Alligator mississippiensis: one gene and its partner. The protein of the gene in region 2 purifies or fractionates together with the protein of the main gene of each other region. This does not show direct contact. Links are inferred from orthologs where the notes say so. Each region holds a gene or a part of one and is shown on either strand. Other genes may lie near its edges.

Evidence for each region.
Region 1: the proteins of PTPN18 (region 2) and PSTPIP2 purify together in Homo sapiens (affinity purification with mass spectrometry; 4 studies listed by BioGRID and IntAct, with this or other methods). This does not show direct contact. The link is inferred for Alligator mississippiensis from reciprocal best matches to the Homo sapiens genes PTPN18 and PSTPIP2.

Annotation. Positions count from the first base shown.
Region 1 is NC_081826.1:291,733,892-291,745,709, forward strand, and holds the start of PSTPIP2 (proline-serine-threonine phosphatase-interacting protein 2), read left to right. Parts: upstream 1-7,451; 5' UTR 7,452-7,468; coding exon 7,469-7,540; intron 7,541-11,818. UniProt on the Homo sapiens protein: Binds to F-actin. May be involved in regulation of the actin cytoskeleton.
Region 2 is NC_081831.1:27,549,223-27,560,720, reverse strand, and holds the start of PTPN18 (tyrosine-protein phosphatase non-receptor type 18), read right to left. Parts: upstream 5,059-11,498; 5' UTR 4,969-5,058; coding exon 4,885-4,968; intron 3,486-4,884; coding exon 3,377-3,485; intron 2,273-3,376; exon of another isoform or gene 2,252-2,272; coding exon 2,175-2,251; intron 2,081-2,174; coding exon 1,985-2,080; intron 1,867-1,984; coding exon 1,828-1,866; intron 1,717-1,827; coding exon 1,648-1,716; intron 1,148-1,647; coding exon 1,085-1,147; intron 590-1,084; coding exon 447-589; intron 170-446; coding exon 103-169; intron 1-102. Other genes in the region: MON1B (vacuolar fusion protein MON1 homolog B), read left to right, coding at 9,361-9,400, 10,284-10,550, 11,237-11,498. UniProt on the Homo sapiens protein: Differentially dephosphorylate autophosphorylated tyrosine kinases which are known to be overexpressed in tumor tissues.

The DNA of each region.
Region 1 (11,818 bases), on a different chromosome or scaffold from region 2:
CGAGCGGGTCTTATTCAGGCCCCTCAATACTGTGTCCCTCGCCGAACCCAACCCGGTGGGTGCAGTGAACCCGACCCTCACCCAGGAGCATGCCTGATGCCTATGATATGCTTGGGAGAGTGAAGAGCCGGTGCCGATCGGCCGGTTCCCTCCCCTCATGGCGGGACTTTGCTAGTCCAGCTCCCCATGCTTCTCTTCATGTGTTAACACTTGTGCTCCCCCGAGGTGAGAGCTTGTTTTAAACCTGGGAGATGCGGGCAGATGGAGGCTATGTAACTTGCCCAAAGCCACAGACACAATCAGCCTCAGAGCAGGAACTGCATGCCACGACCCTCTGTTCTCCCACCCATGCGCAGCTCGCTCCCCCATGGTTCCCTATCCTTAACAGTCCTAGTTGTACCCACTGAGAGGGAGATAAAGCAGTGTGGAAGGAGCTGGGGAGACAAAGGAGGAAAGAGAAACACAAGCAAGCCTTTAAAAGGTTAATGAGGGAAGTGAAAGAGCAAAAGTTTTTCAGGAGAATCGTAATTGCAAAACTAGAAAAGTACTGGACCAAGATTGCTTCATAGGCAAGAGCTGTTAGAGTAACCTGAATCTCCCAGTGGGGAAGGCATCCACATGTTCTCAGCTTGTCTTTTGCTAGCAAAAGATGCAGCAGCCCAGACTGGATTTAGCGATTTCCAAGTCTGAGTTTGGGCTCCGCAGACTTTCTTGTTGGTTAGCAAACTTTTTTGTAGCCGGGACAGCTAGAAACCACACACCCAGATTGGCTTTCGGGGTCCCTTCTGTGTTTCAGAGTGCATCACCCCAGGAAGTATGAAGGGAATTAAAAGACTTGTAAAGCGTCTCCCATTAAATATCCCCATCTAATAGGGTTTGCACAATTTGCATTCCTCTACTCCCAAGCTTGTTATCACTTTAATATTCACAGTCAATAGCATTGATTTCTGGACAGCAGCCTGTAGCAATGTCACAGCAGAGGTTATTGTTTTACTTAGACCTTTCACTTAGAGGGATAGACAACACTGCCCCATCTATCTGCTTGCCACCTTGTGTCTTAGGATTTCCAGGGCAGGAAGAATTTGTCTGCTGGACCCTCAAGCTCCCCCGTAACTGTAATATCCAGTTTTACTGCTGCTACTAAGTCTTATTCCCTGCCCCAGAAAGCTTGCATTGCAAACAAGTCAAGTGTCCGATGAACACGAGTACTTGAAAAACGGAGGAAAAAAAAAGGAAGTTATTTTTGTCTCACGGGGTTTACAATGGGTTCCCTTGTCAACATTTTTCATTTTCCTCACCACTGGGGATTTAGTAAATGAAACAGAATTGCAGAAGAAAATGGCAGAAGGGGTCAAAAAATGTTTATGATCCTAGGGCTATTACTTGTAAATATTACAATTTGGAATGAGCTGTTTTTCAAACCAAAAAAAAAAAAAAAAGAATGGCTTAAAAAAAAGAAATAAAAAACCCCAACTTTTATTTGGAGAGGCTGTGGGATTACTAGTAAGCTGGGCAAATGAGGGGTTGGGGGAAAGATGCATCTGGAGAGGCTTGGTTTTCAGCAGGAGGCTGAGCGTACCAGGTAGGTGAAGACAGATAGGTGCACGGGGCTGTATGATGCCAGGAGCAGGGAAAGCAGCGAAGGTCAAGTCCCTATCAGCACGAATGCAGTAGACAGAGCGCTTTCCAGTTCAGTGACCTTCCCCTTGGAAAGCCCAGCCTGGAGGGAGAACTATGCACTCAGGTTGCACCCGGCAGAGATAAGGGATCCTGTTTCTGTTTAACAGTAAACATTGAAAGGCCTTTTCCTGGCACATGGATGTAGCTGAAACAAGAAGAGTTGCTTTCAGGTTGGAAAGCTAACCTGAAATACAAGGGGCCTCTTCTACACCGTGGAAAGCAGGATGTGTCGAATCAGCAGCAGTAGCAATGGTGAAAGCTGCCCCCAGACACTCTGGCTAGGGACAGACATTACACATAAACCGGTTTAAGCGATCAGAAACTGGACTAAACCTGTAACAGAACAGATGTTCAGTGCACATCAACCAGTTTGAAAATGACTGAAACTGGTTTGAGATAAACCTGGTTGAATGTAGTATCAGACTTAACCCATTTGGGTCAAACCGATTTATGCAGCGATGATCTGAGCAGGGTGCAGGGCCCAGGGCAAATCAGCCTGTGTGAGGCCTCATCTCCGGATGCAAAGAAGCCGGTGGCAGATTCGGCGGTGAGGGCGGGAGGTGTGCTGAGTAGCTGGACATGAAGCTGGCAGCAGCACGGAGTCATCACGGCCGCTCCACCCAGCTCCATGGGGCTGCCCAAAGTGCAGGGCCCAGGGGCGGTTGCCCCAATTCACCCCCACCCCCAGGACAGCCCTGGGTTTATGCAATGTCTGTCCCAGACTCCTTGCTGGTTGAAGTGAAATCAGAGTCCCCTAGCATCCAGGCATGCTCGCTGGGCTGGCAGGGCTCTTTTCTCTGCTCCACAGCAGGGCTGTCCTCTCCCTCTGCTCCCTGGCTGCAGCTCCTGCACAGACTGCAGGCATCCCTCCTGGCTTCCCCTAGCAGACCACATGCTGGCTACGGTCCGTGCTGTGGGAGACTGGTTCCTTCCTTGGAAACACCGTTTAAGAGAGCTTGAACTAATGGAGAGAGGCTTTGTTTTCTGACGGGTGACAAACACTGAGGGGTGATAAGCACTGTTATCCGTTCCCTGCTGGGCTGGTCAGGAGCGGGGGGGTGGGGAACCCCTCCCTAATCAAAGCGTCCTGCCGGGGCCTGGCCATGCCCTCCCCGCCTTAGCTCAGCCCTGTGGAAGGGAAGGGAGGGCTGCTCTGGCACCCCTGGGCTTCTAGCCTGAGCTACTGCAGGCATGTGCCTGCATGTCTGGCATGCCTGAGCAGTTACCAAGTGATTTAGCCAAGCCAGATTAGACTAACCTGCAAAGATTGTGTCAATTCAGGCTCCAGCTTTTTGAATGTCTGTCCCTAGCCCCTATACATTACAGCTGCCCCCCTGCTACCAAGAACAGAGTTATGTCAGAGGGGAAGTTCAGGTCTGAGTTGGGCTCATGTATATGCATCCAAGGAGGCAGTCCCTATTTGTCTTGCTGAACCTGATCAATGACCCCATAAGGCTCCAGTGATGCTGTTCAGCAGATGACAAAGTCCCCAGTCCTGCACTCTTCACCAGGACAATCTCCCACGAATACACCTCAGCACACATTAGACATGACGAAAGCTCGCACTGTGACCCTCACTGGAAAGACAAGTTAGCCAAGGTTAAGCAACTTAGCTCAGGCCAGACTCTCGGTCTGTGGTAGATGAGAAAGGAAGAGAACCCTAGAGCCTGACTGTTTGCCTGTAACAATTACCTTCCTCCTACTTACAGCATGATCATTACTGCTCCACATTAACAGCTGGATCAGGTCATTCTGAAGTCAACTAATGACTTCCCTGTCATTGCAATGACAGGGTATTAGCAAGGATCTCATTTCCCCATGCCATGTTATAGGGTATTTTTGGCTACTGTTGCTTGCGCGTGGGCGTGGGTGTATGAAGCAGCAATTTTGGGGATTCTCGGAACGAATGAATAGCTGGAAACTCAAGGGACCGAACTCCATGGCGCAGGAGATCCCTTCCAGTCCTTTGTTCCTCCATTCCATGGGAGTCTGTTCATTGGGGTTGGATCTGGGCCTAAAGAAGAACAGTCAACTTTTGCTTAAAGTGGCCAGCTTTGAGGGGACAAAAGCCAGGACCCTCCACAGACCTCCGGAAACAGGAACGGCTTATCTCACTCTCAGTTCCACCCAGCGTAACCACAGGACCACTGGTACGGCTCTGGGGGAGCCTGACTGTCTTGCTTCAGGCACAAGAGGTAGACCATCGCTACCTTCCAAACTAGAAGCTGTCTAGCTGTGTTGTGCGGTGCCATATGCAACCGGCTGCTGCTGATTTTCCACAGGATGGTGTGGGACCTTTCTAGAAAGAGGTTGGATCAGCCAATCTAGGGACATCTTTTTTTTTTAATTTGGGACAAATGTTCTGTTCGAGGCATTCCTTAGGAACTCTGAGGCACAACCCTACAATTTGGGATTGTCCTGGAAAATCTGGACTTTTCCTTTGAAACTTCCAGACAGGGACCAGACGGACCAAACTTCATGAACCTGATGGACCAAATAAAAAAAAACCCAACCAAAAAACCCCCCCAAAAACCAATACGGCCCACAAGAAACATGAAGAGGAAATATATGAAATTATGGCATGATACAATCCTGACCACCAGCACAGTCACACGCACCACACAGTCGGCTCATGACTTCTCAAATAACAAAGGACACTTGGCTGGGAAATCTAGTGCTGTCTGGAGGGCCTTGTTTTACAACATCCTCTGCATAAGCAGATCCCATCTGTCTAGTTCTCTTGTGTTTCGATGCAGATCAAGAATGGAAAGACTTCTGTTATATTGATCTCAGATGGAAAAATGAAGTGCGGTCTGTGGGCGACGATGAGCCACTCACTAGGTTATGCGCACCAAGTGCTGCAGCAAGGGTTGGCGTTGCAGAGAGATCTCTCTGAGGCAGCAGCATTTATGGTTTGAGTTGGCTGAGAGGTGACTCAACCTAAGACTCTGTCTGAACCATACCTGAGAGCGGGCTTTTCTGTTTGTAAGATACTTGGAGGAGTTGCAATGACTCCCAGCATACATCTCCGGAGGGTGCCCATCCACTGCTATACCCCCAGGCAGGGCAGTCCATGCCAGTGCTGCTCCCATGGCCAACACATGGGGCAGGTAGGGGCAGGTGAAAGGAGGTGATGTGCTGAGTTCACCCTTGGGGTGCTCCCTGCCCGTGGGTGCCCTTCTTTGTGCTCCTTTATGTCAGGACTGCAATGCACCTAGTTCTTAAATGGCAGGTCAGGAAGGACCATCCATCCGCCTTTGGGCATTGCATAAGGGCTTGGCACAGATCTGGGAGCACTGGACATTGCCTTGTGCTCCAAGGGTTGGTGCAACTTGGGTCTTCCCTCTATCCCTGCCTCTTTCTGGCTTAGAGTTGATATCCTTTAACCATGCCATAGGAGTGATGGGGAGGAAAAATGAGTCTCATTTCTTGCGCTGTTGTGTAGTTGTGCCGTGGATGCAGCCAGAGCTAGTTCTCCGTAACCAACCCAGTGTCCAAGCGGTGGCATCCACTCCCTTGAAATTGCACATGCCTTACCCACAGTGGAGAGACAGGGCAGTCCTACCTCAGCTTAAATAAATTCAAAGTCCAGAATGTCACAGAAAAGGAAACCACAGGTTATTTATTGACAGGAAACAAATGAGATATTCTGTGAATAGCTGCCAGGTTTCCCTACAGGAGCGCAGACATGCCAGGGCCTTCAGCACAGGAAAGGGGAGCCTGTGAGGCCTAGGGAGGACCAAGTGCCTCCCTGCACATCCCAGTAGCAGCCTTCACAGTATCCCAGGATGCAGGATCCTCTCTTAGGGGAGAGTGCTCTGTGTGTCCCATCCACTGAATACACTTTTAGAAGAAAAACAGGGAGGCTGAGGATGGAGGAAGCAGTGTCTCCCACCCTCTGGCTGAGGAGAGGTCTGTGGCACAGAGTCCCAAGTCTCTCCTGCAACCCAGAGCCCCCGGAGATGTGGCTGCTATGCCCTATCTGACCATATCAGCGCTGCTGGAGCAGGCAGAGTTTGTGCAGAGGACCAGGAGAAGCACTGGGAGATGTGGCTGGGCTGATGGGAAGAACAGGCACAGGAAATCTTAGATGATAAAGCCATCGAGGACCCTCCTACAGTCTTTGCTCTAACCTCCTGTGTAGCACATGCCCAAGGATTCATCCCCTTGCTCGTGTGCTGGGAACATTAGCTTGCAAGGAGGTGGGTACCAGAGGGAGGTGTATGGATGCACGGACAAGGGTAGGCATTCAGAATGACCCGACAAAAACGGGTCTTGTGGGGGCTGTGGGTTATCAGCTGGGCTCCGCTAACTGGACTCTTTCAACCTTCACCTTCTTCATGTTGTAGAGACACTTTCCCTAAAAATACGTACTGCAGACACTTATCCATACTCTCACCAAGCAAATCCAGGTGTCTCGGTAAAAACAGGGCCTGATCTGCAGAGGTACTGGAGACCCTCCACTCCCATGACCTCGGTGGGATTTGTGGGTGCCAAACACACTCAGGCCCTTTCAGTATATGGCCACACAGGGGCTTAGGTATCTAAATTAGGTAACTCTTGAGGTTGACATGGTGTATAAAAGCCAGTGAGACCCCAAATACGAATGGAAAGTTTCTCATTGACTTCAGTGGGCTTTGGAGCAGCCCCCTGGGCTTGTCTTTGCAAACTGGGGGTTGTTTTACTATGCCTTTAACTGAGCCTCTCCCAGCTTTTCCTTCATAGGAATGTTGTAAGCCATGCGCTAGATCAGCAGCACGATGAATACACCCCTTTGGGTAGTGCAGATACAGTGATAATAATATAAATTACTCCCACATGGAGTATTTAAGTGCCAGATGCTTTAATACCAGCATAATACATTCACACAAAAGGTTGTACCTCTGGAAATGTTTTGGTCAAAATTAGCACCCCCTAACTCAAATAGTTATAGTAGTACAACATCCATGTGCAAAGCAAACCTGAGAGTTAGGAAACAAGCAACCTGCTCTTTTTTCCCCTTTCTCTCCTTCACTGGGAGAATGTAATTGCTTCCCTTGGTTTCTGTAGTGAATTTTGCCCTTCTGCTGGACATAGCAAAGTAGCTGGTGGACATCCTGGGATCTCTGGCACTTCTTCCCTTCTGGATTAAACCTTCTGCCGGGTGATGTGGTTTTTACCCTTGTTTTAGTTTTCTGGTTGGCTGGTTGGGGTTTGCTGAGCAGAAAGGACAAGAGCGTTGCTAGTGTCTGTCTTCGAGAGGAAAGGTTTTTTCAACGAGGAAAGAAGACTCGGGCAGATAGCTTTTGCTGCATTGGCAGGAACTAGGTGAATGTCCCTGATTTGGAGGCTGACACAATGACTCCTCCTTTCTGAAGATGGTATCAGCAACGTTTTCTTCTGCAGAGTGTTTTATAAAGATGAACTCAGTTCTATGGGGAAGCAAGAAAGTGCCATTACATCCATTTTTCTGGTAGGAAAAACTGAGGCACAGAAAGATGCAATCTTTGTCCCAAAGCTATGCAGCTTGCCAGCTTGCGAGAGCCAGAAGTTGCACGTGGAGAAGAGCAGTATGTGGTATCCCGTGTGTATGGTTTGCTATGTGGGTGCCCTGGGTTTCTCTGGGGAGGTACTTCTCAGTGGAGCATGTTGCCAGATGATGCCTCCTGCCAGTATTTTCTTTGCGGTGCCCCTCCTACTTCTTTGCCTCAGAGCAGGTCCTGCCAGTACACATGTCTCTACCTGTCCCACTGGATCTGCTAGCTGGGAAGCTGTCTCAGAGCTGGCAGGCACGGAGAGAAGAGGAGACATGGACTTCTTCTGGAGCAGCTTTGTCCCATTGGAGAAAACTCTCTGCAAGGTGATGGCACCACAGATGCAGGTAAGAGTCTCGCCTAGTGCTTGGGGGAAGGGGAGGAGTGAAAGGCTCTAGGAAAAACAATGACCGCTGAGGGTACAGACAGACTGATTGTTTTCCAAATGCACCTGTGCCAGGTGTGTGTGCAGATGATGTGTGAAAATAGGACGCAGACCTGGCTTTAGGAGATGCAGGGTCTGCTCCTGGCTTTGCCACTCACTCTTTCGGTGACCCTGGCCAAGTCTCTTACTTCATCTATCCATTAGCATCCCCATTTGATTAATGCAGTGATAATGCCCGGCCGGGCTCATGAAGACTTCAGGATCCCACCACTTTTAGCGAGCAAGAAATACCAGCCTGCTCTCAACCCCTCTCCTCGTGGTACCTGGAAAATGTAAACTGAGGTGACTTGATCACTGGAGCTTGCTAGGGAGGGATGACTGACTAGTGGTTAAAGAGCTTGACTGGGACTTTTCTCCCAATGGGCCAGATGGAAGAACAGCAAAAAAGTAACATTGCCAATTGATTGGGGAGGAGAGTGACTGCAAGCGGCCCCTGGAGTCTAGTCTCAGCTCAGATGCGCCTTCTGCGACTTACTTCGATTTCTTAGCAACTCTGCCGTTGCCACCTCCTTTCTAAAATGGTGACACGGACACCCGCTTAACCTGCCCCCGGGACAGCAAGTTAATGTATGCACAACTCTGCTTCTCTATATACTAAAAGTCACCATCAAACACTCCAGGGGCCCTGCCACCAGCCTGGCACCCCAGGCCACTTGGAGAAGACCCTCTTGAAAAGCCTTCCTGAATGTTGGGAAGGTCGCCAGCGTGGGCTCTGTTACTGTAGCTGGAAGCTGGTGATTATTATTTTTAACAGGGTCATCACCTAGAACCTCTGGTTGAAATCAGGGCCCCACTGTGCTAGGTGCTGTATATTCAGACACTGCCTCTTGGGTTTTACAATGCACATGGATAAGATGAGCAGAATGGGAGAAAGGCAGTGCTGAGGCTGTACCCCTTTAGTGGGCAAGGGCTGTCTTCTTGCTGTGTGTTTATTTTGGCTCTAGCCAGTATAACACTGTAAGAGGGGCTCCTGGACATCCCCCTGCTAGAAATAATCACCAACGTATTGACAGCTCAGGTGAGGAGAGTGCAGGCCCAGATCTATGGAGACATGGACCTCAGTGTCTCATCCAAGTCCCTCAGTGATGGACAAAGGGACTGTGCTTTTAGCACAAGATCATCCCTACCATGAAATGACCCTACCTCTTTACATCCACAATTAGGCATTTTTGGGTCTGTCCCCAACATGCTAGTTGGGGTTGCAGTAAGACAAGTTGGTTGGGGTTTCTCTCCTCCTGGCTGGCAGAGAGAGCTCTGTCGGGTCATGACTCCCAGGGTGGGTTTGCAAGTGTAGGAAAAAAATCCTGCTTTGGCACTATGTTGGGTACTGCTAGCAAACTGGGCAGCCAGGCTAGATTCATTACTGGTAATCTTCCCAGGGCACCTGCCAACTCTTGGACAGGCATAGACTACACTTGAGACTACAGTTTCCTGAACAATGTGCCCCGCCATCCCCAAAGCCCAAGTGAGTGTATGTGAGGAATCATTATTCCTTCAGATTGGTGAGGGGATTTATCTGTTTATTTGATCTGATTTACATGCCACCCCCGGGTGGAAGCAGGGGGGGTAGGCACCCCTGCAGTGCCAGTCACTGCTCCTGCACCCCTTTTAGGCAATCAGTCCTACATCCGCCTATGCACACATCTAGCTATGACAGTGGGGACCAACCTTTTTTGGTAGGTGTGCCACAAATTAGTCCCATTCCTTCCTGGAGCGCTACATCCCCTTCTCCTGATGATCTGCTGCTCTGCTTTCTGCTTCCTGCCCTATCTGCCGCTCTGTTCCCTGCTCCTTCCCCAGTCTCCTATGTGCCCCACACAGAGGCCGCCTGTGCCGCTTATGGCTTACGTGCTGTGGATTGGCACACCTGAGCTATGGAAAGCTCCCCCTTTTTATAGACACTGCCAGCAAAGTCCCAGCCTTCAAAGGAAGACAGAGAACCCAATGGGGGAATTGGTCAGTTCGGTGCCTGTCCTTGCAACATGACAAAGCACACAAAGTGCCACATGTGGAGCTCTGGGCCAATGTTTCTCTATCTGTATAGAGGAATGAGAGGCCGATGGACTCAATGGCCAATCCAACAGCTTGGCTTCCCAGCCTGGTGCCAAATCCCAGGGAGTCCTGTGACATCCTTACGCCGGCGGTGTGGAGATAGAACAGAAGCCGGCTTTATCTTCCCTCATCAATGACAGCTTTATTTTTAGCAACTTGCCAGGCCGGATTCAAGGAAAGAAGAGGCAGATCTGCTGTGCACAATGGCAACGAGCCAGTGACGTGGCTAATTGCTGTGTTGCTATTTAAAAGCCTGTAATGAGCAGCCTGGGGATTTCACATCATGTTCTTCGCCCACCTCCATGCGCAGGATCGTCACCATGCTCCTGCCGCAGCTTCCACTGGCCTCTCCAGGCTCGAATGGGAATTGCATCTCCCACGGAGAGACTGCCCCGGAAATCACAAGACGGGGATGAGCTCTGCTCCTTAGGGAGCTCGTCGTGTTTTGGAGCTGAATGGCCTAATGTCCATCTCACTTTGCATCCATCTCAATGTTTTCAGTCTCTATGGGGTTCAGCGCTCCAGTGTTGTGCCCTTGCTTCCTGCCTTGCAGGTCAATGGAGAAGGGGCTTTCCCTGGTCCAGCATCTTCTAGGCTTTCTACTCAAGTTTAGAGGCTGTTCCAGTCTCAGGGTGCCGAGAAGCTGGAGATGGGTCTGGGGACCATTGGAGCTAGTGTAGGGGCCTGGGATCTTTGCTCAGGTTAATGTGACCCCTGGTATGTTCTGCTTTTACCTCTAGATCATTCTTTGCAGGGGGTTATGCCCTTCAGCTTGACATGACCTAGGTTAACCTCACAGATGTGTGCAGTAAAATCGTATGGGTAGCTGCAGCTCCAGGGAGCTGTTTAGGGCAGGGGTGGGCAAAATGCAGCCCTCCAGGCCATTCTATCCAGCCCGTGGGACCCCTAAAAATTGTAGAAAATTAATATTTATCTGCCTCTGGCTGCCTGTCATGCGGCCCTCAATGGCTTGCCAAAACTCAGTAAGCAGCCCTCTGCCCAAAATAATTGCCCACCCCTGGTTTAGGGAATGCCTTAACCACAAAGCTAACCCAGGCCCTTACCCAGATTTTGCTTAAACCCACTTGTCACCCACACAAAAATGGCAGCTATGAGGTTGGAGTTGCTTTGAACCTGAGCTAACTCACCCCCCATGGAGCATAACCCAGTGATTCCCAACCAGGATTCTGCCAGATCCTTTGAAGTGTTAGTGATAAGGGAGGTATCCAGGTTGTAGCCATATTGGTCTAGAGGAAAAGGCCATTGGGACTCATAGTAGAGATCCTATCTTTTATTAGACCAACAAGATTTTTGCAAAAACAATTCTTTAGTTGCAAGCGTCCAGGCACAAACACCCTTCATCGGGCATTGGAGAAAAGATTGTAAAAGTTCTCCTGGGTAGAAATGAGAGTTCATATTTCATAGGGTTTCACAGAGGAGTCAATAGATGGAAGACTCCTTTGGGCAGCCTGTTCATGGCTGCTGGCATGGAGCCTCTCACCTCCTGCTAGGATCTGTGATGATGCAAATTACCTTGAAACAAAGGCAGGAGCAGGAGCTCAGGTTTCAGGTGGTCATGGTTGCTTCCTGCTTGGGAAAATATGAAGATTTCATTTAAAAAAATGGCTAAAAATTCAATATCTTCCATGTGTCAGGTATCCTGGCTGTAGCCATATTGGTCTAGAGGGAAAGGCAATCAGGACTCCAGTAGAGGTGATATCTTTTATTAGACCAATAAGATTTTTGCAAAATAATCTTTTCTCCGATGCCTGAAGAACGGTGTTTTTGCCTGAAAGCTTGCATTTCAAGACCCTTTTTGCAAAAATCTAGTTGGTCTAATAAAAGATATCACCTCTACTAGAGTCCTAATTGCTCTAGCCTGGCTACAGCCTGAATACTAGTGATAAGGGAGGTGTGAGAAGATAAGGAGATAAGAGCAGGCTCAGGCTTGTCACTGCTCCGCCAATCCCCCATCTCCACTACTTGGCCCCTCTGCATGGAGGCAAGCCTGGTAATATATAAATTCGTCTTTGAAATTGGGTGCCGCTCCATTCGCAGAAGTTATGGAGTGTGCCTTGAGTCCGAAGAGGGGGGCTTTGAGTCTAAAAAGGTGGAGAGCTGCTGGCAT
Region 2 (11,498 bases):
GGCGCCTGGCATACACGTGCACACGTGTGCGGTGGTTCACCCGCACGCAGGCAGGCAGGCAGTCACGTGTACACGTGCTCACACCCGGACATGCGCACTCACCCGTTGCACCAGCAGGTCTCGAACCAGTTCCGCCGCGCAGATCACCCCGGTCCGGCCGCAGCCCGCGCTAAGGCACACGGAGACACCTGAGCCCCGCCCCTTCCACCAGGCCCCGCCCTTCCAGCAAACAACATCCACGTGCTCCGCCCCCACCAAGCCCCGCCCCGCCTGCACAGTCTAGCCCTGCCCTCCTGGTCACTCGAGGCCCCGCCCCCAAGGCACGCCCACTCCCACCTTGTACCAAGTCCCGCTCTACTAACTCCCACCCACAAAGCTTTGAAGCCACGCCCACTCACGCCCTCTTCCTAAAATAACCCCACCCCTTCCTGATGCCCCGCCCCTACCTGCAGTGGACGCAGAGCGGGGAGGGGTCCGCGCCCTGCTCACTGCGCATGCGCTCCACCAGCGCCAGTAGCGGCCCGCAGCTGTCGGGGATGCCGCGGTCAGGCCATGCCAGGTACTGCGCATGCGTCACCCTCCGCGACTCCTGCGGGACGGAAGATGAACGCTCAGCAGCCTCTGGCGGCAGCGGGCTGTGCTGTAGCTGGAGCACTCTCGGCACCACAGCGCCCCCAGTGGCGCCTACGGGTACTGTAGCCAGCGAGTAAAGCGTCCTCTGCCGGCGTCCCACCTGCCTTGTGTAGGGCCCTGCTGCCACCCCCGGGGACATTACCAGGCCAGTGACCCGCCCTGAACTCCCAAGTGCCCCCTCCCCTGCTGCCCTCTCCCCAGTACTGCCAACTCTTATATAAAGAAAGAGCTCGTTTTTCACATTCCTGAAGTGTAGACTTGAAGAACAATGCCAAAAATCATGAGAGTTGGTAATACTGTGCCTCCTTGCTGTGGGTATTACAGCCAGACTAGTGCCCACCACCGGGCCCCCCTCTACCCAGACCTGTAAGGCCCTTGCTGCCCCCCTGGGGTATTACAGCTATCACAATGCCCCCCAACAAGAATGCTGGCTGAAGGGAGGGGCAGGGACCTTCTGGAAGGTGATGCAGAGGAACCGAGTCATGATGTCTGGATTCAACTGCTGCTCCTGGGTCTGGAGGGGAGACAGGAGCAGGTATGAGATGGGGGAGGAAATGGGGAGATGCAGCCAGCTCTGGGGTGGAACGACTAGGGAATGGATGAGTATAATGCCATTCAGAGAAGGCTAAGATGTGTCCAACCCTAAGATGGGGTAGCTGGGGTATGGCTGAGTGTAACATTGCATTTGGAGGGCTGAAATATAGTCAGTTCTGGGGAGAGAGGCTGGAGAATGGCTGAGCATAATGCCACTCCAAGAGGGCTGAGATGCAGACAGCTCTGAGGGGGGTGGTTGGGATATATAACAGTACATAGGGAGGGCTAAGATGCAGTTGGCTCTGGGGTGCAACCACTGGGGAATGCCCGAGTATAACAAGGGCCTAATGGTGCTGAGATGTAGCCAGCCCTGGGGTGAAGCACTGGGGAGCAGCGGAGTATAAGGCCACTCCAAGAAGGCTGAGAGGTGGCTGGCTCAGGGGAAGGGCACTGTTTGGGCAGGAAATGGCTGGGGAGTACCTGGGTGATGCAGAAGGGCCCCAGCTGCAGTGGCTCATTCTCCAGAGGCCAGTAGCGCTCACACTTTTTCTGTGGGGGGGAACATCAGTCACCAGGAGAGGGGAGATGCCCCTCACAACCCCTTGGAGAAGAGGGAGAGCAGGGGGAGGAAGGGGATCTCCCCAGAGCCCCACAACTCACCCGGCCCATCTCCACCTCCCGGCAGGCCATGATGATCACCTGGAGAGGAAGGAACAGCAGTGGGTGGAACCCAGGCATCTAGGCTTCCAGCCTTCACTCTCTTACCCACTAGGCCCCACTTGCCTCCCAGAGAAACTAGGTGTCCCGGTCCCACTACCTTCACCCGGTACTGCCACACCATCCTCCAGAAGTCCAGCAGGGTGTGAGGTAGTGGCCCCTGTGTAGCAATGTAGCACCTCTGGGTCCCAGCCCCCTGTTGGGGATAGACGGGGGATAGAATGAGTGTCTCTTGTTCTTCAGCCCCTCCCTCTTGCCCCCATCTGCCTCCCTCCCATCCCCAGGGGTACCTTGATGAAGTTGGCGTTGATGTAGTCGCCCTGCCCCTCCTCTGTCACCAGCGTCAGCACCACCCGTGTCTGGTCATCTGGGAGTGAGGAACAGAGGGGTGAGTGTGCTCATTTCTGGGGCACTGTGAGGCACATGGGGAGGTCAAGAGGTGGCTGCTCTGGGGTGGCACAGCTGGGAACAGCCAAGTATAACAGCACAGCAAAGACTGAAATGCAGGCAGCTCTGGGGAGGGGCGGGTGAGGATGGACAAGTATAATAGTACAGGGGGAGGCAAAAATGCAGCTAGCTCTGGGTATGAGCAGATGGGAATGACTTAGTATAACAGCACTGGGAGGGCTGAGATACAGCTAGCTCTGGGATGGGAGTAGCTGGGAATGATCTCGCTGGGATGGGAGTAGCATGGGAAGATCTCGCTTGGTGTCAAGATGCAGTATAACAACACATGGGGAGGCTGAGAGGCAGCCAGCTCTGGGGTGGAACTGATGGGAACAGCCAAGTAAAATACAGCCCAGGGAAGATTAAGATGCGGCTGGCTCTGGGATGGGGTGGCCTGGGACAACTGAGTATAACACTCCATGTGCGCCCAGATCTGGGGTGGAGCAGCTGGGTAACAGCTGAGTACAACAGCACATGGAGAGGCCAAGCTGTGACCAGCTCTGGAGTGGGGCAGCTGAAACTGGCTGAGTATAACACAGCACTGGGAGGGCTGAGCTGCAGCTAGCTGTGGGGTGGGACAGGTGGAACTAGCTGAGTATAACAACACTGGGAGGGACAAAAGAAAGCCAGCTCTGGGGGTGGGATGGCTGGGGAACAGCTAAGTATAATGCTCCATGGGAAAAGCTTGCTTGGTGCCAAGATGCAGCCAGCCCTGGGGTGGAGTGACTGCAGACAGCCGAGTAAAACAACACATGGGGAAGCTGAGAGGCAGCCAGCTCTGTGATGGGACAAGTAGAACCGGCTGAGTAAAACATAGCACTAGGAGGCCCAAGATGTAGCCAGCTCTGGAGTGGAACAGATGGGAATGGCTGAGTACATATAGCGCAACATGGGGAAGACTGAAATGCTGTCAGCACTGAGGTGGAACAGCTGGCCTGGCTTTGTGAGGCAGCACCCTGGGGAACAGCCACTTATAACAGACAGCCCCTCCTCTGAGGGGGGGGTTGGACCCCAGCCCAGATGCTTGGGTCCCCCTACCACTCACAGGGCAGAATGTCCTTGTAGCGGTTCTTTTTGATGTTGTCCCGTGCAGCGCCGGCATCTGTGCTGTATCCTGCTTGCTGCCGGAAGGCCCAGGCCCGCTCCTTGATCTCCTGTGGGGGGAAGAAGGGGAGTAGTTAGCGGGCCCTAGAGTGGATGGGGTTAATGGGGCAGGGTAGCCAGGCTCAAGATGCAGCCAGCTCTGCAATGGAATGGCTGAGTATATAATGTGGGTAGAAGCACCCAGCTCTGAGTTGGAACAACTGAGCATAATCCATGGGGAGATACAGCCAGCTCTGGGGTGGGGAACAGCTGAGTAGAACATAAGGTGAGATGCACCCAGCTCTGGGGTGGAACAGCTGGGGAATGGTTGAATATAATGTCTGGGCAGATGCAACCAGCTCTATGATGGAAAAGTTGTGTATATCACCACACAGCACCCCCCTCCCCAGCCCCATTGCCCTCCCAGAGCAGGAAAAAAAATCCAGGCTCCCAGGCTTTGTCCATTCCCCCACCGCTGGGCTCTACCCCAGAGATGGCTGCATCCCTGACACAAAGGCAGCCATTGTTCTGCAGGTTACAGGGCAGGTAATGATAAGGGAGGTATCTGTATAAGGGGGTGTGGCTTGGAGGACTATTTTACATATAGGAGGAGCCAGATTATATATTTGCATAAAGGGTAGGAACCTCTGCTGCCTTCTGCCACCTATGGGCAGGGAACTCAGATGCTTGGGTTCTCTTGGTGGGAAGAAGGCTGGGGGATAGGGCGTAAGAATGGGGGGTGGAGGTTGTGTGCCCAGATGCCTGAGTCCCTGGCAGGCTGTGAATGCAGAACTGAGAGTGGGGGGCTGGGCTGTGGGTTCTGCGTTCTCTCTGCAATGGTTTCAGCTGGGGCCTCGGGCTTGGTGTTGAAGCCCTGGCTTGGTGGGGGAGACCCTGGGGCAGTGCTCGCCTGGAGATGCAGCCAGCTCTGGGGTGGCATGGCTGAGAAACAGCCAAGTGTAACAGGGCACTGGGAAGGCCAAGATGCATCCAGTGCTGGGGTGGAACAGCTGCATATAACACCCCAATGGGAAGGCTAATATGTGCTTTGTGTGGGGCAGTGGGGCCAACAGCTGAGTATAGTGCCCCCCTCACCATACACACAACCCAGCATCCTCTAGTATTCTGCCGGGCTGCACTTTAGGTGGGGCATGGCTCTCACCTCCCCAAACCCCACTCCCCTTAGAACAGGGAGAGAACCCAGATGTCCGGGCTCCCAGTCCCCCTGCTTGTACCCTCCAGCCCCCAATCATCTCCCAGGAAACCCAGGTGCCTGGTCTCCCAACCCCCTAGCTCTAACCTAGCAGAAGTCCCATCTAGAGACAGAACCCAGGTGAATGGGCTGTTAGTTCCCCCAGACTCTAATCCTTCCCCCCAACCCCACTCCCAGAGCCTCCTAGAGCAGCTTGGGAACCCAGGTGTCCCAGGTTCCCAGCCCCTCCTCTTCCCTCTCCACCCCTTCTGCCTCACCTGGAACTCCTTTTCGAGCAGCCCAGGATTAGGGCACACCCGGCACTGCAGGAAGGCCTGGAGGGGCCCCACAGGGGAGGCCATGGCTGGAGTTGGGGAGGCTCTGGGGCTGCCTGGACAGATGGACAGACCGGTAGACGCCCAGCACAGCGATGAGGAAGTCCTGCTCCCCGCCCTGCTGGGATGGGCCCGAGCATGGCCTGGCAGCCTGCCAGGAGGGCGGGAACCCTGGTGTCAGGGCGGGGGAGGAGGGGGGTGTCACTCACCTCCCCCCCATCAAGCTGCCCCACCTTAGAGCTAGGTGCATTTCAGCCTTCCCTGTGCCCTGTTATACTGCACCAGTCCCAGCCACCCCTCACCCAGAGCTGGCTAAGTTTCCCCTTATACGACTGTTCCCCAGCTGTTCCAACCTAGAGTTGGCTGCATCTTGGCCTTCACCATGTAGTGTTATATTTGGCTGTTGTCATCAGTTCCACCCCAGAGCTGGCTGCATCTCCCCATATGTCATACTCTGCAAGGCTAGCTGCCCCAACCCCAGAGCTGGCTGCATCTAGGCCTTCTCTGTGTGTGGTTATACTTGGCCGTTCCCCAGCTGTTCCACCCCAGACCTGGGATGATCTCAGCCTTCCCAATGCAGGGTTATATTCAGTCATTCTTATCTGGTCCACCCTAGAGCTGGCTGCCTCTAAGCCTCCATATGTGCTGTTATAATCAGTTGCTTTTCCTGCTTCTCTACCCCAAGCTGGCTGCATCTCCATATGCATTATACACAGCCATTCCTCAGCTATTCCACCCCAGAGCTGGCTGCATCTCGGCCTTCCCTGTTATACTTAGGTTTTTCCCACTGTTCCACCCCAGAGCTGGCTGCATCTCAGTAGCAGACCACCCCTCCCTGCATGCTGTTCATTGTGGCTGATCTCTTTCAGAGCTAGTTGCATCTTGGCTGTAGGTGGCCCTGCCCAGGCAATGTTATACTTGGCCGTTTCCCAGCCACCCCACCCCAGAGCAGGCTGCATCTTGGGCTTCCCTTTGCATTGTTATAGTCAGCTATTCCCAGTTGCTTCACTCCAGAACTAGCTGCATCTTGGCCTTCCCTGTGCCCTGTTATACTCAGCTGCTCCCCAGCCATGCCACCCCAGAGCTGACTGCATCTCCCTATATGTTATACTCAGCTGTTTCTCATCTGCTCCACCCCAGAGCTGTCCACATTGCAGCCTCCCCAGTGTCCTCTTGTTCTCAGCCATTACCCAGCTGTTCCACTCCAATGTTGGGTGCAACTCAGCCTTCCCTTTGCACTGTTATACACAGCCATTCCCAGCTACCTGGCCCCAGAGCTGGCTGCATCTAGACCACCTCTGTACCCTTTTATACTGAGCTGCTCCCCAGCTACTTGACCTCAAAGCTGGCTGCATCTAGGCCTTCCCTGTGCCCTGTTATACTTGGCTGTTCTTTTCTGCTCCACTCCAGAGCTAGTTGCATTGCTTCTTTCCCTTTGTACTGTTACACTCAGCCATTCCCACCTACCTCACCTCAGAGCTGGCTGAAACCCAGTCCCAGATGAGCCCTGACTACATGGCCTTATATGCAGCTGTGTGCAAGCCAACCCACCACAGAGCTGGGTGTATCTTGGTCCCAGAGCAGCTCTCCCTACTTGGTTCCCTTGCTGCCCCACCTCCTCTCCTTGCTTGAACAGTGCCTGCAGGAGGCCAAGTGCAGCCAGCTCTGGGGCAGCTGGGGAAACCTGAGGTGCTGAGGGAGGGGGTCAGGGTAGGATGGAAAAGGTGAACCTGCCCCTCCACCCCAGCCTGTGGGGAGGTCACGGGGCCCTGAGTCTACAGGAAGGAACTGGAAAGATGAATGAGAGATGAATGAGAGAGGGTGACACATGTGAAAGGGGAGTGGTGCCACTGGAAACTGGGATGCTTGGGTTCTCCAAGAAAGGAGGGGGCCTTCTTATGTGGGAGATGCAGCCACCCAGGGCCACCAAGGCCTGTTGTTGTCATGGCAACAGTGGGGACATGATCCTGCTAGTCAGTGGGGGGTCAGGCAATGATGTCACCGTGCGGCCACCTTACGGCCCCACCCTAAGGTGTCCCCATGCTGTCACGGTGTGCGGTGATGACCCCACAAGGCCACGTAGTTAAGAGGGCCTCGTGGGGGTTGGGGGCACAGCCCAGAGAGTGATGTCACGGGGCCACAGATGATGTCACAGGGTAGCGTATGGGGGGGTGGGGCGAGTGATGCCATCACGTGCCACAGCGACGTCACAAAGAAGGGCAGAGACAAGACTGCAGGGGGCTAGGAACCCAAGTGACAACGCAACACCGTGACTGGATGACGTCACCGCACCGCTCAGAGGTCAGCTGGCGCAGTCACTCCCCACCTCCTCCCCATTGGCTCCCTCCTCTAGGCCCAGACTTCCGATTGGCGGGAGCTGAGGGGACCGAGCCGTCCACCATTGGCCGCCGTCCGCCACGCCCTCCGCGCCTCCATTGGCCGTAACATTACCCAAGTCCCGCCCCCTTCTGGTTCGGCGCGCCTGATTGGCTCTGGGCGCCGCACCGCGCCCCCTTGGCTGGCTGTTGCTGCCTGTGAGTGGACCCGGAAGCGCTGCCTGGGAGGCTGGAGTTGGGGTAGGGTGAGGGACAGGGTCACGTGGCGAGGGGGGACCTGGGACTGACGTAAGGGGTGACCCACGTGGAAGGTACCCCGGGGCCATGTTGGGGTGGGAGGGCCGCTTCTGTGGGAGGGTCACGTGGGGGTTGGGGGGGGCGAGGGTGAGGCAAGGGGGGGACCTCCTGGGCAGGGAAACACTGCTAATTTAAGGAGAGCCCAGGTAGTGACTGATATGGGGGTATCCCAGGCCCTAGGTAGGAAGAGAGGTGTAAGGGCTGGTGGTTACCTCTGGGGTGATATAATGGGGGACCCACCCCAGGGAGGGAATCCCAGCGATGATGGTGTGGGAGGGGCTTACTGGGGGGGGAGGGTAACTGTGGTGCCCCCAGGATGGGAGAGGGACACCTGTAGATGTGGGGCATATCCATATGGTCCTATAGTGGAGGGGGCCTGCCCTCCCCTGATCTTTTGAGGGGCAGGGACTGGTGGTGCTAGGCTGTAAGGGCTGTCAGCTGGGCCCCACCCCAGAGCTGGCTGTATCTCAGTGCTGGGTGTTATACTTGGCCATTCCACCCCAGAGCTGGCTGCATGTCTGCCTCCCCCATATACTGTTACACACAACCGCCACAACCCCAGAGCAGGCTGCATCCTGGCATCGAAGGGTCCCTTCTTATGCAGTGTTAGACTTGGCTATTCCCAGGCTTCCCACCCCAGAGCTAGGCACATCTCAGTCTTCTCCATGCCATGTTATACTTGGTCATTCCCCAGCTCCTGAATCCCAGAGCCTGCCACATCTCAGCTTCCTCATGTGCTCATATACTCAGCAGTCTGCAGCCACCACAATCCCAGAGCTGCCTGCATTTTGGTGTTGAGGGGTCCCTTATGTGCAGTTCTACTTGGCCATTCTGTAACTGCCCCAACCCAGAGCTGGCCGCATCTCTGCGCTCCCTTTAGGGGCTCTAAAACAGAGGAAAGTCCTGGATTAGCCTTTGCACCAGGAGGGCTTCTCTGGTGTTAAGATGTGGCCATCTCTGGGATGGAGCAGCTGAGTATAATGCCTTGCCCAGCACAGAGATGCATTCAGCTCTTGGGTGGAACAGGTGAGTGTAATGCCACAGATGCAGGCTGTGCCAAGATGCAGCTAGCTCTGGGGTGGAACCGCTCGAGTATAACACTATACAGAGGCTGTACCCAGTGTAAGGTTGTAATCAGTTCTGAGGTGGAGCTGCTGGGGAATAGCTGACATGCTGTAGAGGGAGAGCTGAGTTGCAGCCAGCTCTGGGGTTCTGTATCTGGGGAAAGTCTGAGTATGGTACTGCATGGGAGGACTGAGATGTGGCCAGCTCTGGGGTAGAACAGGCTGAGTGTAACACTATATGCAGAGACTGCACCCAGTGTCAGGATGCAGTCAGCTCTGGAGTGGAGCATCTGGGGAACAGCTGAATATAACACTGCAGGGAAGGCTGAGTTGCAGCCAGCTCTGGGGCACAGTATCTGGCAAACATCTGAATACAACCCTGCTGGGGGAAGGCCAAGATGCAGTCAGCTCTGAGGTGGGAACAGCCACATATAATGCCCACCTATCCCTGATAAACTCCCCGGGCGGTGATGTGGTTTGGGACAGGAAGTGTGGCTCTGGGCCCTGGGACAGCATTTGCCCTGTGACTAGGACCACTGCCATGTGGGCGGGCTGGTCCAGCCAGCTTCTTTTTGCCCTATCCTGATGCCTGGTTTCTCTGAGAAGGGAGGGACAGCTAGGGGGTGAGAGTAGGGAGTGCTGGGAGCCAGGATGTATGGGTGCTCTGCAGAGCCTGGGACTAAGCACCACCCTCTGTCTCTCCCACAGGTGCTGCCTGGCATATGGGGATGGCAACCGGGGAGGAGATGGCCCCAACCCTAGGTGAGGCTCTGCTCCCATGGGAGGTGTGGGGAGGGAGCAGGACTCTGGGGTGGTGGTGGGGGCAGGAGCTTGCCCTGTGGGGGGGCAGGGGTGTCTGGGGGAGACACTCTGGTGGGGGGGGACTTTTACCAGCCTGGATACCTGGGGTCTCTTTCTTCTCTGGGGGAGAGGGGACTGGGAGCCTGGATGCCTGGGTTATTTTTCAGTTTGGGTTTGGTGGGTCCCAGCAAGCATGGGGGTTGGGAGGCCAGACACCTGGGTACTGTTTACGCTTGGGGAAAGGAGCAGGGCCTGGTGGGCTGGCTTCCTGGACACCTGGGTTCCCTCCTTCCTCTGAGATGGAAATGGGGCCCAACTACCTAGAGCTGGGATTGGGAACCCCAATGCCCGAGTTCTCTCCCTGTTCTGTGATAGGAATGAGGCCTGGGTTGCCTGTGCGGCCTGGGAGCCTGGACTTCTATGTTCTCTTTCCTGTTCCTAGTGGGAAATGAGGCCTGGTTAGTTGGAGCAGGGGGTACTGGGAGTCCGGATACCTGGGTTCTCTCTCCGCTCTGGGGAGTGGAGCCTGGTGGGATGGCTATCCAGGTTCTGTCCTGGATCTGTGATGAGAATGGGGCCTGGCTACTTACAGTGGCGGGGAAGGATGCTGGGAGCCTGGATTCTTTAGGAGGGAAGTGGGGCCTCAGGGGGACTGGGAGCCGGGATGCCCGAGTTCTCTCTCGGCTCAGGTCTGGTTACTTAGGGCAGGTGGAGGTTGGAAGCCCAGGCACCTAGCTTCTTCCCCTGCCCTGAGATGGCAGTGGGGCCTGGTTTTTTAGAGCAGTGTGTAGGAAGCCTGGATGCCTGGGTCCCCCCTCACCTGTCTCTCTCTCCCCCCACACAGGTCCTGAGGAACTAAGTGCTGGCCTGGAGGAAGCAGCTCCTGGCTCCATTCCCAGCCCCAGCCCTGGAGCCTCTCGTGGGGTGGAGGAGGCTGGGGGCCCGGGCTGGCGGGCACGGCGCAAGCACGTGTTTGTGTTGAGTGAGGCAGGGAAGCCCATCTACTCACGCTATGGCAGCGAGGAGGCACTCTCGGCCACCATGGGTGTCATGACGGCCCTCGTCTCCTTCGTGGAGAGTGGCCATGATGCTATCCGTTCCATCTGCTCTGGTATTGGCTGGGGGGCAGGGTAGAGGACACTGGACTGGAGTCTGGCCTGGGGGCACTAGGGTGGTGTGTGGTATATGGACTGGGGGACAGGGGGCACTGGGGGTGTGGGGTATGGGATGGGGAGCAGGGTAGGAGGCACTGGGCTGGGGGCGCTGAGGTGGGGGTAGGGTATGGGCTGGGGGGCCCTGGGAAGGGTGGGGAACTGTGGTGACAGGTGGGGAGGCTGGAGGGGCACTGATGGAGGGAGTAGGAGAGGGAAGCAGGGTGGAGCCAGCAGGACAGGGGACAGGGGACAAGAAGAGGCCCCAATCTTGTCCCTATGACCCTGGCTGGCTGGCTAGGGTGGAGGAGGAAACTGAGGGCCCCAATCCTGTCCCTGGAACCTGAGAGACCCTGAGCTCATCCCCAGAACCCTGGGTGTCTAGCTTGGGGGAACCAATCCTGTCCTCTAGACCCTGGCTGGCTCTTGGGGAGGGGGCTAAGGGCCCTGATCCTGTCCCCAGAGACCTGAGAGGCCCCAATCCTGTCCCCTGGGACCCTGCCTGGGTGGTTCTTGGGGAGGGAGCTGAGGGCCTTGATCCTGTCCCTGAGACTCAAGGGCCTCGATCCTGTCCCCTGGATGGCTCTTGGGGCAGTGAAAGGCCTTGATCCAGCTGGGGCAAATCTATGTCTCTGCCTTTCCACAGAGGACCGGAAACTGGTGTTTGAGCAGCAAGGCCCACTGGTGCTGGTGTCGGTGTCACGCACGCGACAGTCGGAGGGGCAGCTGCGCCGGGAGCTGCTGGCCGTGCATGGGCAGATCCTGAGTGTGCTGACACGTGGTGCTATCGCCCGCCTCTTCCAGCGCCGCCAGGGCTATGACTTGCGGCGCCTGTTGGCTGGCTCAGAGCGCCTGCTGGACGGGCTACTGGGTCAGTTAGAAAGCGATGCTGGCTTCCTGCTAGGTGC